Pelodiscus sinensis: one gene and its partner. The protein of the gene in region 1 purifies or fractionates together with the protein of each later gene. This does not show direct contact. Links are inferred from orthologs where the notes say so. Each region holds a gene or a part of one and is shown in the gene's direction. Other genes may lie near its edges.

Region 1 (7,597 bases):
TTTTACAATTTAGACCAACTGTTTTAAGAATTACCCTAAATGCCTTGAATACATCATGGAGACCACAGTTATTAAACTAACAAGAATGTGAGAAACTCAGGACATGCGGAGATTAGGTTCCACAAATGTCTCAACTCTGGCCCCTTATGCCTGGACACCAACAATCTATATTAGGATGCACGATCCAAAAATATTTAAGATATTATTTAGATTATTTTATCTTCAGGGCAGAGACTGCCTATCACTACAGGACTTTAAAATGCCAGTGTGGTAAGTCCTACTGATCTTGACTGGAGTTTAAGTGATCTCATGACACAAATAATGCAATAATGTGATGTTTCCTAATTTGTACACATTTTCAGGGCTGCATACATGAGTTAAATTGGCTTTACTGACTCATGAGACTGTGACTATTGGTAACTACAGACAGAGTAATAAGAGGCCAGATTAACAGGAAGAATTACAGGTGGTTACAGTCAATGTAGATTTGATGAGTAAATGTGCAGGTGAATATACAGGTGTGTATTTCTATGTGCAATAGAGCAAAATTCCTAATTCCACAATATAATATTCGTATTAGGTCTCGTTCTATTTATTGCATTTATTTACCTTTCCCCTCCCCTCTTTCTCTGACTTCCAGAGTCTAGTAAATATCCTGAACATTCATCTACCTGAATTGAGGCCCAATCAGCCTAAACAGGAGAGGAATAAGTCAAAGAACTCTTAAAAATCCTCTATTGCCATGAACTATTCAGTATTCTCTTGTCACAGCACCAGTGCTGACTCATTCAATTTATCATCCAATACAGAAAATAAACATAGGCAAAAAATTCAAGCAAAGCAATCTGCAGTTACTGTCATTACAGCAGAAGCCCAAGAAGATTGACCACTTTGACAGTGCAGTGGAAAAAAACCAACTGAAAATAAAAAGGATGAATTAAATACAGTAAATAGAACCAGACATAATGGCCACATCTAGATTGCATCCCTTTTTCGTAAAAGGGGTGCAAATTAGACATATCGCAATTGCTAATGAAGCGGGGATTTAAATCTCCCCCGCTTCATTAGCATAAAAATGGCAGCCGCTTTTTTTCAGCACGGAGCTTTGCTGGAAAAAAGCGCCAGTCTAGATGCGGATCTTTCGGAAAATAAAGCCTTTTCTGAAAGATCCCTTATCCCTTATTTTAAGAGGGATAAGAGATCTTTCGGAAAAGGCTTTATTTTCCGAAAGATCCGCGTCTAGACTGGCACTTTTTTCAGGCAAAGCACCGTGCCTAAAAAAAGCGGCTGCCATTTTTATGCTAATGAAGCGGGGGAGATTTAAATCCCTGCTTCATTAGCAATTGCGATATGTCTAATTTGCATCCCTTTTATGAAAAAGGGATGCAATCTAGACGTAGCCAATAGGAATACTGCATTGCTGGAACTAAGAATTTTGCTCCAGGTTCCTTAGCAAATATTTTCATGCCTATGGCTAACTGAATGTGAAGTATTTAGTGAAGACAGAATAAATTAATACTAAAGCATAACTTGAGACTCCTGTGATAAAATTTAGCTACACTGCCACAGAGGATGGAGACTCATGAGCAATGCCTCAGTTTCCCCACCAGAAAAGTAGGATTATTAATATTCTCTGTGAACTCCAAGTAACTGATGTTAAAGGAATAGGATGAAGTTTTCAAGCAGGGTTTGAAAAGTTCACCAGCTATCAACTTGTCAAAACATTAAACTCACTAGACAAATCCAAAATAAAACAGGGGGGTAACACACTATTCAAACTAATAACCCAAGGAAAAGACAGCTACCATTCCTCCAACTTGCTGGAAAGGGAAAGGTGCTGGGATTCCTACCATGGTACTGTCCCTTCACCATAATCAAGAGCACCATCTTTCATGGAAGCCTCTAGAGGTCTAACAGTTTTGAAACCTCTCTATACACTGCCTCCATAAAAGAAGCATTTTCTACCAGCCCGTGACCTTGAAGTTGTTCTATTAATCTAGTCTCATCCTTCCTTCAGACTCTTGAATTTCCCTCTTTAGTAATTTCTTTTGCTATTGCTCAGTGTTTTTCCGAACAGCAGCAGGGTCAAAGCAACATAGTTCTTGTCAGTTCGACCCCTACATACAGGATTCTGAATAGCAACATAAAAGCTACTTAAGTTCTGGTCTCATTTAAACTGCTGTTGTTTGAAAAAGCTCTGAGCATGGGAACCAATTGCAGATTCACATAGCTAGCAGCAGTAAAGTGAAATGAATTACATAGCACCCTACCAAGGAATGTGACGAGATGGAAATAAGATTGTGGAAGCTTGAGTAGACAACATAGGTCAGGGGTCCCCAACGTGGTGCCCGTGGGCGCCATGGCGCCCGCCGGGGGATTTCTGTGCGCCCGCTGAAACATCTGGGCTGGCCCCACCCCCAGCGCGCGGCACATGCATGGTGCTGGCTCCAGGCGCGGGACGCATGGGCGGCCCCTCCCCATGGCGCGCGGCACATGCGCAGGGCCGGCCCGGGGCGCATGGGCAGCCCCAGCCCCGGCCCCAGGGCACATGTGCAGTGCCGGCCTGGGGCGCGTGGCTCGTGGGCAGTCCCGGGCGCGCGGCACATGCGCAGTGCCAACCCTGGGCACATGGCTCGTGGGTGGCCCCGCCCCCGGGTGCGCGGCGCAGGCGTGGCCCCACCCCCGTGTGCCCGGCACGTGAGTGGCTCTGTCCCCAGGCACCTGGCAGCCACGCAACGTTGGGGACCACTGATGTAGGTGGTGTTAGGGTTGGATAGGGAAGTGAAGTGGTGGGCGATGAAGATCCTTTAACACAGTGGTCACCAACCAGTAGATTTTGATAGTCTGGTAGAGCTTAGCACGTCTGACAGGTGATCCTGACTGGTTTGGCCAAGAGGTTATCAAGCACAGCACTTCAGCGCCTCCCACCCCCAATTGCTGCACATCTCCTCCCCTTTGCCTTGGAGTTGCCTCCCCCTCCAGGAGCCTCCTGCTTGTTGTGCAGAGGAGGTAAGAGAGAGGAGGGGTGCTAAGGTCAGAATGCTCCCCTGCCCTCCATTCTATCTCCACAGAATGGAAGGGGGGGGGCACACAACAGGGTTTGGGATAGAGAGAGTTTGCTGGCTGCTTTTGGGAGTGGTGCAGGGCCAAGACAGGAATGAGCCTGCCTTAGCCCCATGGTACCACCACCCAGGAGCCACCTGAGGTAAGCACTGTACACCTGAAGCCAGCTCCAAACCCTTGCCCCAGTCATGTACCCCCACCTACATCCCAAGCCCTTACCCTAGGCGTGAGCCCCCTAGACAGAAATTCCCTTATAGAGCCTATACCCTGAACCTCCCCTCCTGCAACCCAACACCCTACCACACATTGGCTACGTCTAGACTGGCATAATTTTCCGCAAATGCTTTTAACGGAAAAGCACTTTTTGTGGAAAAGCGTCCATGCTAATCTAGACGCACTTTTCTGCAAAAAAAAAGCCCCGATAGCCCCGATCGCAAAAATGGCTTTTTTTGCGCAAAACAAATCTGAGCTGTCTACACTGGCCCTTTTGCACAAAAGCTTTGCGCAAAAGGGACTTTTGCCTGAATGGGAGCAGCATAGTATTTCTGCAAGAAGCACTGATTTCAGACAGTAGGAAGTCAGTGTTCTTGCGGAAATTCAAGCAGCCAGTGTAGACAACCGGCAAGTTTTTCCGCAAAAGCAGCTGATTTTGCGGAAAAACTTGCCAGTCTAGACGCAGCCATTTAGTTCAGAGCCCTTCTCGCACTCTAAATCCCTTAGCCCAAGACCAGAGCCTGTGCCCCAACCCTCTGCCCTGCCTGGTGAAAAGGAGGGAGAATGGAGGAGGCAAGGAGGACTGAGTGAACTGAGGCAGAGCCTTGGCAAAGAGGCATAAAAGAAGTGGGGCAGGGTACTTGGGCTGGAGGTAGATTCTGGATTGCATTTAAATTTTAAAAAGCCATCTTGCACTTATAAAAGTTGGCGACCCCCCCCCCTGCTCTCACAGGTCTTGTCTCCCATTAGCGGATGCAATGCGGCACAATCCTGACTCCAGAAACAAAATACAGGACTATGTAGCACTTGAAAGACTAACAAGATGGTTTATTAGGTGATGAGCTTTCGTGGGCCAGACCCCACGAACGCTCACCACCTAATAAACCATCCTGTTAGTCCTGTATTTTGTTTCAGCTACACCAGACTAACACGGCTACATTTCTATCACCCGAGTCCAGAAGGCACAGCTGCTGGACTCCTTGACTGCCTCTGCCTGAGCCAATCCCCTAGAGATCAGGGGTTTTCCCCCATGGCAAGCTACAATGCCCAGGAGAGCCGCAAGCACCGTCACCCCGACCCCTTCTGCTTGCAGCTGGGACTGCACAGGTACCACCGGAGGCGCCCCTGGCACAGCGCGCCCCGCGCAGGATCGCTCCCTGGAAGGCTCCTCGAGGTCACTAGTGTCCAGCGCTACGCCGCGCCCCTAAGGGGCGCTGGAGTATTTATACGTGCACGTGACCACCACCACCTCCTCAGGCCCCGCCCCAGCCTCGCGCCCTGAGCTTCCCTAAGAGCGGCCGCAAAGCAGCCAGCGCGTCTGCCTAAGGAGCTACCCGGAACACAGCGCAGCCGAACCCTGCCCCCGCCCAAAGACCCAAGGTGGCTGTGGCACTGCCTGAAAAAAAAAAATTCCGCCCAGGACTCCGATCGCTGCGCCCGCACTAAGCCAAGCTCCGGCTATCAGTATGGGTCGTGGAGTAACAAACCACCATAGCACCCCAGCTGTTTGAAACAGAGCCCTTCTGTGGACCCCGACTGTCTACTGTGCCGCCTGAACAACAACTGCCTAAGGACCCCGGGTGCCCGCTCCGGTGCCCACACAGCCAGGGAGCCCGCTGCCGCTGAGGACCCCGGCTGCCTTGGCGCTGCCTGCCCAGCCGCTGGTAGAAGTTCGAAACAAAATCCGGCCCGGCGGCGGCAGGCAGGCCCGGCCGGAGGAGCGGCAGCCCCGCGGCGCTCGCCATGGATCAGTGCGTGACGGTGGAGCGGGAGCTGGAGAAGGTGCTGCAGAAGTTCGCGGGCTACGGGCAGCTCTGCGAGCGGAGCCTGGAGGAGCTGATCCAGTACGCGGGGGGGCTGCGCCGCGAGATCCTGCAGAGCGAGAGTACGTGCGGCGCGCCGGGCCCGCCAGGGAGCCCGATCCCGGGTCCCCTCGCCCCCCCCCCATGGGCCCCCCTCCATCCCGGGTCCCCTCGCCCCCCCCCCATGGGCCCCCCTCCATCCCGGGTCCCCTCGCCCCCCCCCCATGGGCCCCCCTCCATCCCGGGTCCCCTCGCCCCCCCCCGTGCTCCCCCCTCCATCCCGGGTCCCCTCGCCCCCCCCCGTGCTCCCCCCTCCATCCCGGGTCCCCTCGCCCCCCCCCGTGCTCCCCCCTCCATCCCGGGTCCCCTCGCCCCCCCCCATGCTTCCCCCTCCATCCCGGGTCCCCTCGCCCCCCCCCCATGCTCCCCCGTCCATCCCGGGTCCCCTCGCCCCCCCCATGCTTCCCTCTCCATCCCGGGTCCCCTCGCCCCCCCCCATGCTCCCCCGTCCATCCCGGGTCCCCTCGCCCCCCCCCATGCTCCCCCCTCCATCCCGGGTCCCCTCGCCCCCCACAGGTTCCCCGATCCCTGGTCCCCGCGCCGCTAGGTTCTTCCGGGGCCCCATGGTCTCCCCCCCATGCTCCTCCCCCATCTTGGGGCCCCATGGTCCTCCCCATGTCCCCATCTCCATGCCAGGGCCCCTCGCCCCCCATGCTCTCCTCTCCATCCCGGGTCCTCTCGCCCCCCATGTTACCCCCGGTCCCGTCGCCCCCCACAGGTTCCCGATCCCTGGTCCCCGCGCCCCTAGATTCTTCCGAGGCCCCATGGTCCCCCCCCATGCTCCTCCTCCATCCCGGGGCCCCTTGGTCCCCCCCATTCTCCTCCTCCGTCCCGGGGCCCCTCTCCCCCCCATGTTACCCCCGGTCCCGGATCCCTCTGCCCTCCAGGTACTCACAGCCCCGGGGCCTCTCCCCACAGGTTCCCCGATCCCTGGTCCCCGTGCCCCCAGGTTCTTCTGGGGCCCCTCGGTCCCCCCATGCTCCCCTCCATCCCGGGGCCCTTCGCCCTCCCCCCAGGTTCCTCCGATTTCCTGTCCCCTTGCTCTGCCCCCCCATGTTCCTCCTCCATCCCGGATCCCCCCCCCCACCATGCACTCTCAATCCCGGGTCCCCTCAGCATCCCCATCCTGGGTCCCCTCCCCCCATCCTGGTTCTCAGTTCTCAGCCCTCTTTCCCTTCCGTCCGAGCTTCTGCCCCCAGTTTTCATTTGCACCCCCTCTCCTAAATCCTGTCTGCATGACTTCCATTTGTCCTCACTGATCCCAGTTTCTCAGGCACCTGCCCGAACGAGCCCCCCTAACCCCATCTCAGCTCTTTGGGCCCCTTCCCTTTGCTCCCAGCTGTATCTGCAATAAGCCTTGGAGCTCCATGTTGTCTGTCCCCTCAGGAGGCTCACATCCCCTCTTTCCACAGAGACTCAGAGTCCCTGGGTCCCCTCCCCCCAGATGCTCCAATCTGGCTTCTTAGGCCCCCCTTTTCCCAGTCTCAGCAGCCTCTTTCACCATCATTCCTACCACCATCACCCCTTCCCTGTTTGGAACAACTCCTCTGAGCTGCCATGTCTTCCTTCTCCTTCCTGGTCCCATCACCCTGCTGCTGTTCTCTGTGATTTTTAAACACTCAAGGAAAATAAAATAGTGATTTCATAAACAGAGTGTAAAAGGGGGAAAATTCCTAACCAGTCATAACATAGAAAAGTTAAAGTAAACCGTCTTTGGACAAACTTCCTTTTTTTCATTGTCTTCCTTTCTTGCCTATACAATTTTTTGTAAAGGGGAGCAAGCCTCTGTTTACAGTTTCTTAGGTGGCATTAGGTGGTATTAAATGCTCTTGTAACTTGAGTCATAACACTGTAGTGAAGAAGTTACAAGCGTGTTTAAATTTAGACCATGGCAACACCTTACAGTTAACAGCATGCTAACCAGAGTATTTGAGCACCGTTGTTACTGTTAGTAGTGTGGGGTCCTAACAGGGCTTTCCTGACTTGCGGAGACAAGGTGGATGAGGTAATATCTTTTATTAGACCAATTTCTGCATACTGCTTGGACCGGGCAATTTTTCTGTTTCCAAGATCAGTTAAAATAATCACTGTGCTCCTTCGGGGAAACTGCGCACATCTCTGCTATGCTCTGAACGTAAACCATTTTGTTGCGACCATGGTTCTAATGATAGCATGCCATAGACAGATTCTTATTTGGGTGATGGAGGAGGCTAGCACTTCTGGTTGTGGGTGTTGAATTGGGACGAAGATTGGTCCATTTCGAACATGCCTGTTTATTCGTTAATGAATACAAGTGTTTACTCTTGGTCAGTGGGTTCTGCTGTGCCATCTTTATATTGGTCAATATGTTTATATCTTTATTCCTTTGCATTGAGTAATAATGGAATTAGTCACTGCTATTGAAAGCAGTCTTAACAGCCCGACAAGATGACGTAAACAACAGGTTTGTTGGATTTTCT
Region 2 (7,358 bases), on another chromosome or scaffold:
ATACATAGGGAATGAGACAGACAATATTATAATGCCTTAATAGTGTGACCTCACCTGGAATACTGTGTGTATTGCTGGTCACTCCATACCAAAGAGGATATGAGAAGAATGAGAACCTGGCAATTGATCTTGTTGCAAGAAGGATGACAAGAATGATTAGGGAGCAAAGTGGCTTAGACGATATCTTTTACTGGACCAACATCTGTTGGTGAGAAAGTCAAGATTTTGAGAAGTAGTCCCAGTAAAAGATATTACCTCACCTATCTTGTTTCTCTAATAATCCTGGGATTGATACAGCTGCAACACCACTGCATACAACAATGATTAGAAATATGGAAAAACTCACGTGCGAAGACAGATTGAAAAGACTGGGATTATTTACCTTAGAAAGGAGATGAATAAGAGTGGAGAGAATAAAAGTATATAGAATAATGAATGGGCGCAAAAAGGCAGAGCAGGCACTTCTGCTCTCCCGATCTCATAGTACAGGAACAAAGAGACAGGCATTAAAAGGCTACCTATTTAAAATAAATAAAAGGAAATACTATTGCACACAACATGCAACTAGACTATGGAATTCAATGCCACAGGAAGTTGCTGAGTTGCCAGAAAATCAGCAAGATTCAAAATAAGGATGTTAAGGAACAGGTGTTTGCTAAGTGTGGAGTCAATACAATTGGATACACGATTAGTCGATAAGGGGAGGCATTCTCTGTGACCACTGCACCTCTACATTTTAAAGGTAATAAGAGCTTGGCGGCTCTTACTACATTTAAAATGCAGAGGCACAGTGGTCCTGCACCCATATGAGCGGGAACTGCTCAGTCCCAGTTCATGCCGGGCCTGGCAGCCCCTCTTTGTGGTGCCTGGAGCTGGGCACAAACAGGGACTGATGCTGATGCAGCCCCTCCCCACAGCCAGCCTGGCTGCTGTGAACAGGCATTGCTCTGTAGCAGCAGTTCCTGTTTGCAGAGAGGCCAGAGCAGCCTCCTTTGCCTCCCATCCCGAGAGGCAGCACTGGGCTCTGCCCTCCACTTCCTGCCTCTCATACCAAGGCAATGGGGAGGGAGAGTGAGTAGTCGAGTACTCCACTTGAACCGCCATTGTGACATGGCTGTGAAAAGGCTAATACGGTCTTGGGATGTATTAGGCGAGGTATTTCCAGTAGGGATAAGGAGGTGTTAAGTGCCATTATACAAGGCATTGGTGAGACCCCATTTGGAATACAGTGTGCAGTTCTGGTCTCCCATGTTTAAGAAGGATGAATTCAAACTGGAACAGGTACAAAGAAGGGCCACTAGGTTGATCCGAGGAATGGAAAACCTGTCTTATGAAAGGAGACTCAAGGAGCTTGGCTTGTTTACCTTAACCAAAAGAAGGCTGAGGGGTGACATGATTGCTCTCTTTAAATATATTAGAGGGATCAATACTAGGGAGGGAGAGGAATTATTTAAGCTTAATACCAATGTGGACGCAAGAACAAATGGATATAAACTGGCTAGTAGGAAGTTTAGACTTGAGATTAGACGAAGGTTTCTAACCATTAGAGGAGTGAGGTTCTGGAACGGCCTTCCAAGGGAAGTAGTGGGGGCAAAAGATCGATCTGGTTTCAAGATTAAACTAGATGGGTTTATGAAGGGGATGGTTTGATGAGATAACATGATCTTGGGAACTAATTGACCGTTCATTATTAGTGGGAAATAGGTCAATGGAGGGATGATAGGAGTTACTTTAGAGAACTTTCTTGGTGTCTGGCTGATGAGTCTTGCCCATATGCTCAGGGTTTAGCTGATCGCCATATTTGGGGTTGGGAAGGAATTTTCGTCCAGGGTAGATTGGCAGAGGCCCTGGAGGTTTTTCGCCTTCCTCTGTAGCATGGGGTACAGATCACAGCTGAAAGATTCTCTGCATCTTGGGGTCTTCAAAGTATTTGAAGGCTTCAATATCTGAGATATAGGTGTGAGGATTATTCTAGGAGGGGTGGGTGAGATTCTGTGGCCTGCACTGTGCAGGGGGTCAGACTAAATGATCATAATAGTCCCTTCTGACCTTAAAGTCTATGAGTACTCCACTTGACTATTGGATACGTTTATGTTTATCGTAGTCGAGTAGTTGATTACTCGCTTACATCCCTAATTCAAAAAGGGTCTACGACAGTTGTAAGACCAACGTGAATACTCAGAATTAAAACAGTTATTGCTAAAATATATGTATATATAATAAGAATGGTCGATCCCCGGATATTAAAGAGAAAAGCTGGGTGATGTAATCTTTTTTTTGGATTACATTTTAGTGGTGAGACACACAAGGATTTGATTTTCACAGACTTCTTCAAGAAGAGCACGACAGCTAAATATAACCTTGAACAGATAGAATATGTGCTAACTACTTATAACAGTGGTTCTCAACCTGTGGCTTATGGGCTGCTTACGGCCCAGTATGGGCTGCTTGCGGCCCAATCAGCACACTACTGTAGCCCACTGATAGAGCCCAGGGGATAACTGAGAAGCCTGGTGCCAGTGGGAAGCAATGCCAGGAAGCGGTGAGTGCAGGGAGGCCCCACCCTGCTGCCAGCAGCAGACTCCTGTCACGTTGCTTGGGGGCAGGAGGAGGAGCTTGGGGGCAGTGGTGGAGCAGGGATGGGAAGAGGTGGGGCAGGAGCAGAGCCTGGGATGGGCCTTGGAGAAAGGAGTGGAATGGGGGCAGGGCACCCACCCCAAAGGACAGCCCTGCCTGTTGACATTCTCTGGATCATACAGCTAGTTATATATATTATGTGGATTGCAGCCCACATAACACAGAGCTGTATGTTCAGCTCACCTTGGTAAATAAGCTGAGAACCACTGAGTTATGCTAAATTAGGGGACCATTCAAGGTGAAATGGTATGTTAACATCCCTGTAGTCAGAGGGGAAAAATATGGGCTAGCTGGTTACAGCATGTTGTAATAAACCATAATCCAGTGTCTTTAGTCAGATCTTCATTTTTTAGTGTGGACCAAAGTTATGAGTTTAAGCTCCCAGGCCCATCTTTTGAAAATGTTATGTTGTACATTTACTTTGAAGATGAGGACTGATGATGAGTCAGATACAGAGGGTATGTTTACACTACCCCGCTAGTTCGAACTAGCAGGGTAATGTAGGCATACCGCACTTGCAAATGAAGCCCGGGATTTGAATTTCCCGGGCTTCATTTGCATAAGCGGGGAGCCGCCATTTTTAAATCCCCGCTTGCTTGAACCCCGTGTAGCGCGGCTGATTTGAAGTGGTTTCCATTATATACAGGATGTACAGTATAGTTCTCTCAGCAACCTCACTATAAAAACTGTTCCAGTCCCACTGCACGTAAAGTAAGCACAGATCTCTGAGTAGCTGTATTAGACTGAAACTAAAAAAACAATGGTCCTGTAGCACCTTAGAGCCTAACCAAAAAAAATATACATATTATCATAAGCTTTCATGAGCATAACCCACTTCTTCAGATGTTCCTTGTAAACTCTATAGATTGTCAGGAAAAAATTAATCTAAGAGGTATCATTCCTTTAAGATCAAATATGTTAAACAACAGATGCCCAGCTCCCTCCACAGAACTGTTTATCCTTTGCAAAGCACAAGCAGGGGCGGTCCATCCATATAGGCGAACTAGGCGGTCACCTAGGTCACCAAGTTCAATGGGGCACCAAATGGTGGCAGAATATCATTGAGGGGTTTGGAGATGGGGGGTGCTGATTGCATGGTTTGCCTAGGGCACCAGCTGCTGGCAGCTAATTTAGGGCCGCCCCTGAGCACAAGGCTCTTTGCCTAAAAGCAATAAACCCAGTCTATAAAAGAAGATTATTGCGCATCAACACCTGAGGCAAGTGTGATTGTATTTACTGCATGTGAAGGGTGCTGGCTACCACAGGTACAGCAGGGCAGCTCCCTCCAAGAGGGCACCACCAGCCAGGTCTGCAGAGATTTCTTCATCCCCACCCTTTTGATTTAGGTGTGAGTGGGCCAGGAGATACCTCCTGTTTGCTGGCACTGACATGGGTGTGAGTGCAGACACAGGTGACCCATGGTAGCACTCCGGAGGTGCACCGCCCCCCATGGCCCTACTAAAATTGTAATTAGTAGATGGGATGCTGCCATGGGCGATCGCCCTGCACCGCAAGCACTAGCCGCCCCTGGCTGCAGACAGTACCCCTTCGCCTGGGACCCTGCTCAGTCCTCCGGGCCAAGGCCAGAGGGCCCGGGAAAACGGACGAGCCCCACCGCGGAGCAGCGCCCAGCTCCCTTCACGCCTGCTCGCGTGCCGCCGCCCTCGCGCCCTGCGACTGGCGGAAGCCCCGCCCCTTGCTCCTCCTCGCGCCGCCGCGGGGAGCCGCTCAGCTGATCCGGGAGGACGCTCCAGCGCCGCGGCAGTGTCTGGCGCCGGCCTGGGGACCAGCCGCGGCGTCTCGCGCTCTGAGCCTCCTTCAGCCAGTCCAGCGCCGCGGCCCGAGCTCGAGACCCCCCCCCCCCCTCCTTCCCCAGCGCGCGCGCGCGGCCCCCCTCGCCCTGGGTCTGTAACCGCCGCCTGCGGTGGTTCCGGGCTGCCCGTCTAGCCCCCCCTCCCCCCACCGCTTCGCTCCGCAGTGCCCGGGCCTGCCCGCCGCGCCCGCCCCGGAGACCCGCCGCGCGCCGCCGTAGTAGCTGGCAGAGGCCGGGATGTCCGGGCAGCAGCAGCAGCAGCTTCCGTTGACGGCGGCTCCCCAGGCCCCGGGGATCGCCGCCCCCGCCGCTGGCGCCGGCCCCGCTCCGGTCCCGGTCCCGGCCCCGGCGGCCGCGCTGCTGCTCCACCCGCCGCCTCCCCCGCCACCGGCTACCGCGGCGCCGCCGCCTCCCCCGCCTCCGCCCGTCGCTGGGCCCCTGCCCGCCATGGGCCTGCCCGCGGGGAGCAGCGCCCCGGCCGCCTTCCCGCACGGCGACCCGGCCCTCAACGAGCAGGAGAAGGAGCTGAAGCGGCGGCTGAAGCGGCTCTACCCGGCCGTGGACGAGCAGGAAACGCCGCTGCCCCGCTCCTGGAGCCCGAAGGACAAATTCAGCTACATCGGCCTCTCGCAGAACAACCTGCGGGTGCACTACAAAGGTGAGCGCCCGGCCCGGACACGGGCCCGGCCCACCGAGGGGGGCGCCCCCTCCCGCGTGGCCCCAGGGCTCGGCCCCACGGGGGAGGGAACCCCCGCTCCTGGACCCAGGGCCTTCCTCCATGGAGCGGGGAGCCCGGCCACGGCTCTGTGTATCGACGCGCACATTCTGGAGGGAGGGGGGCATGTTTACATGCAGGCCACCAGGGACCTCTTGCCCAGCCCCCTGCGCGCCTGGCTTCTCACCTCAGTGCCCCTTCTCCATGAGGCTAGTCCCCTAGTGGGTCCCCTTTTCACCTGGAAATCTCTCTTGGAAAGGGCAGCAGCCTGATCCGGTGTGTGTGTTGGGGGGGAGGGAGAGACATATCGGGAAATATCTTTGTGGAATCTCCTAAACAGTTTACATGATGGGCGTGATGATCCGGATTCCTCTTTTTTCTCTTACCCCGAAGTATAAGCCTATGGGAAAGCTCACCAGATCTTGTCTCCTTTCCCACTCTGGATTTTGGGCTGATGGGCTATAAATTAGTAGCCTTCCTCAGCTTGTCAATTCTGCTATCAAATGAGAGTTTGAGGGCAAGCAGGAGAATAAAGTAGGATCAGCATGGTGTCATGTGTCTGTCTACAAAAAATATGCTTTTTTATTTAGAAGTGAGAACAAGGGCTATAGGGAGTTATAAGATCAGTACATGTAAAACTACCAAACACGGAAATGGCAGGGAGGGGAAGCCACCGAGAAAATACTTCTTGGTCTGTAGAAAATGAAACGTGTATGAAATAATATAATTTAAAGTAGCCCCTAATAATAGTCCCTGGGTAAATACTATATGTAATGTAGAGCATGCTTTAGGAAATGTTCAAAATTAATTTAAAATGTAGGAGTGACCTAATCTCATACTCTGTGCTCAGGTTTCTCAGAGATCAACTTACAATATTGTAAGGCTTTTATTTCAGAAGAAAAGATATCCAAATCATATACACTCATGTAAATCTACCAGAGATGACAATAAGGTACTTTAACTGGTGATAGTTGTGAAAAATATTATAAAAGCTAGTAACTTGAGTTTACCCTGACTTGGAAAAAAAATTCTGTCATTCCAGGCCCAAATCCTATGTAAAAGTGCTTCAGATTCAAAACAGTTTCTGATTGGCAATAAAGGGAGGTCAGATTGCAGTCAAAATGAGTATAGAGGGGAAGGAGAATAACCCTGAAATTCAAGTGAAGTCTTGAAAAACATGTTATGGTTGATTCAAATGGGAGGAAAATGGCACACAAAACATACAACATTCATGACTGCCATGAAAGGTGAGGTGTATTCTGTAAAATCTACCACAGGCAGACACTAATCTATTGTTAAAAACAAAATATTCATTTTAAGTAACACAAAGTTTGAGGCAAACTTATGAAAGTCAGTACATTCAAATTTGATAAGCCTTATTGTAGGCTCTTCTTTGTATTTTATTTGGAAGACAACAAGAGTTAGTTAAAATTAACATTGTGTTTTTTATCTTTGAAGTTTCTGGCTTTTGTTTGGCTTTGTATGACTTTAAATATTTTAGGAGTATTTTGTATGTACTGGGATCTGGCTGCAATGAGGATTCTCTTACACTTGGCCAGGGTGGGGCTTTATGGATGGCTGGTCTTCCTATTGTATCTTTGTAAACTATTATTTAAAAACACACAGTATATAACAAACAGGTAGATATAGAATCTTTCCGGCCTTTTTTAATGTGAAAATATTGTTTTTCTTTTTCTGTTCCTCATCCTTTTCAGAATGTAATCATGTGTGTTTGAAATATCGATAGTTACCAAAGATATAAAGGGGTAGCTGGTTAATCGGTTACCCAGTAAGTTTTGCCTTACAAGCATGCTTACCAGGATAACTTGTTAACCAATGGGTGTCCTCGCTGGAGCAGCCCGGTGATGTGGCAGGCCCTGCACAGTCAGGCGGGATCAGCCCCTGACCACTGCTGTAGTGTGGTGGCCTTGCCCCCCGGTTTTAACTGGTTAACATTTTAAATAGGATTTTATATTTATATAATGGTTGCATGGTGACCACTGGGCACTTGGGAACTGTGGAGACAATTGTCATAAATGTACATTGACTAATTACTGTTAACCGTACCTGATTCAGAGGTGAAGAATGATCCCAGTAGGGATCACCAGACCAGTCCAGGAGAATGTGGAACAGAAATAGAGTGGGGTGAGGAGTAACTGTAAAACACATAGCCTATAGCAACTTCTCCTTCCA

The links. The genes of interacting proteins can lie anywhere in the genome.
Region 2: the proteins of RMND5A (region 1) and RANBP9 purify together in Homo sapiens (affinity purification with mass spectrometry; 9 studies listed by BioGRID and IntAct, counting the BioPlex papers as one, with this or other methods). This does not show direct contact. The link is inferred for Pelodiscus sinensis from reciprocal best matches to the Homo sapiens genes RMND5A and RANBP9.

What each region holds. Positions count from the first base shown.
Region 1 is NC_134715.1:122,882,337-122,889,933, forward strand, and holds the start of RMND5A (E3 ubiquitin-protein transferase RMND5A), read left to right. Parts: upstream 1-4,595; 5' UTR 4,596-5,019; coding exon 5,020-5,161; intron 5,162-7,597.
Region 2 is NC_134712.1:106,033,839-106,041,196, reverse strand, and holds the start of RANBP9 (ran-binding protein 9), read left to right. Parts: upstream 1-4,340; 5' UTR 4,341-4,687; coding exon 4,688-5,108; intron 5,109-7,358. UniProt on the Homo sapiens protein: May act as scaffolding protein, and as adapter protein to couple membrane receptors to intracellular signaling pathways. Acts as a mediator of cell spreading and actin cytoskeleton rearrangement.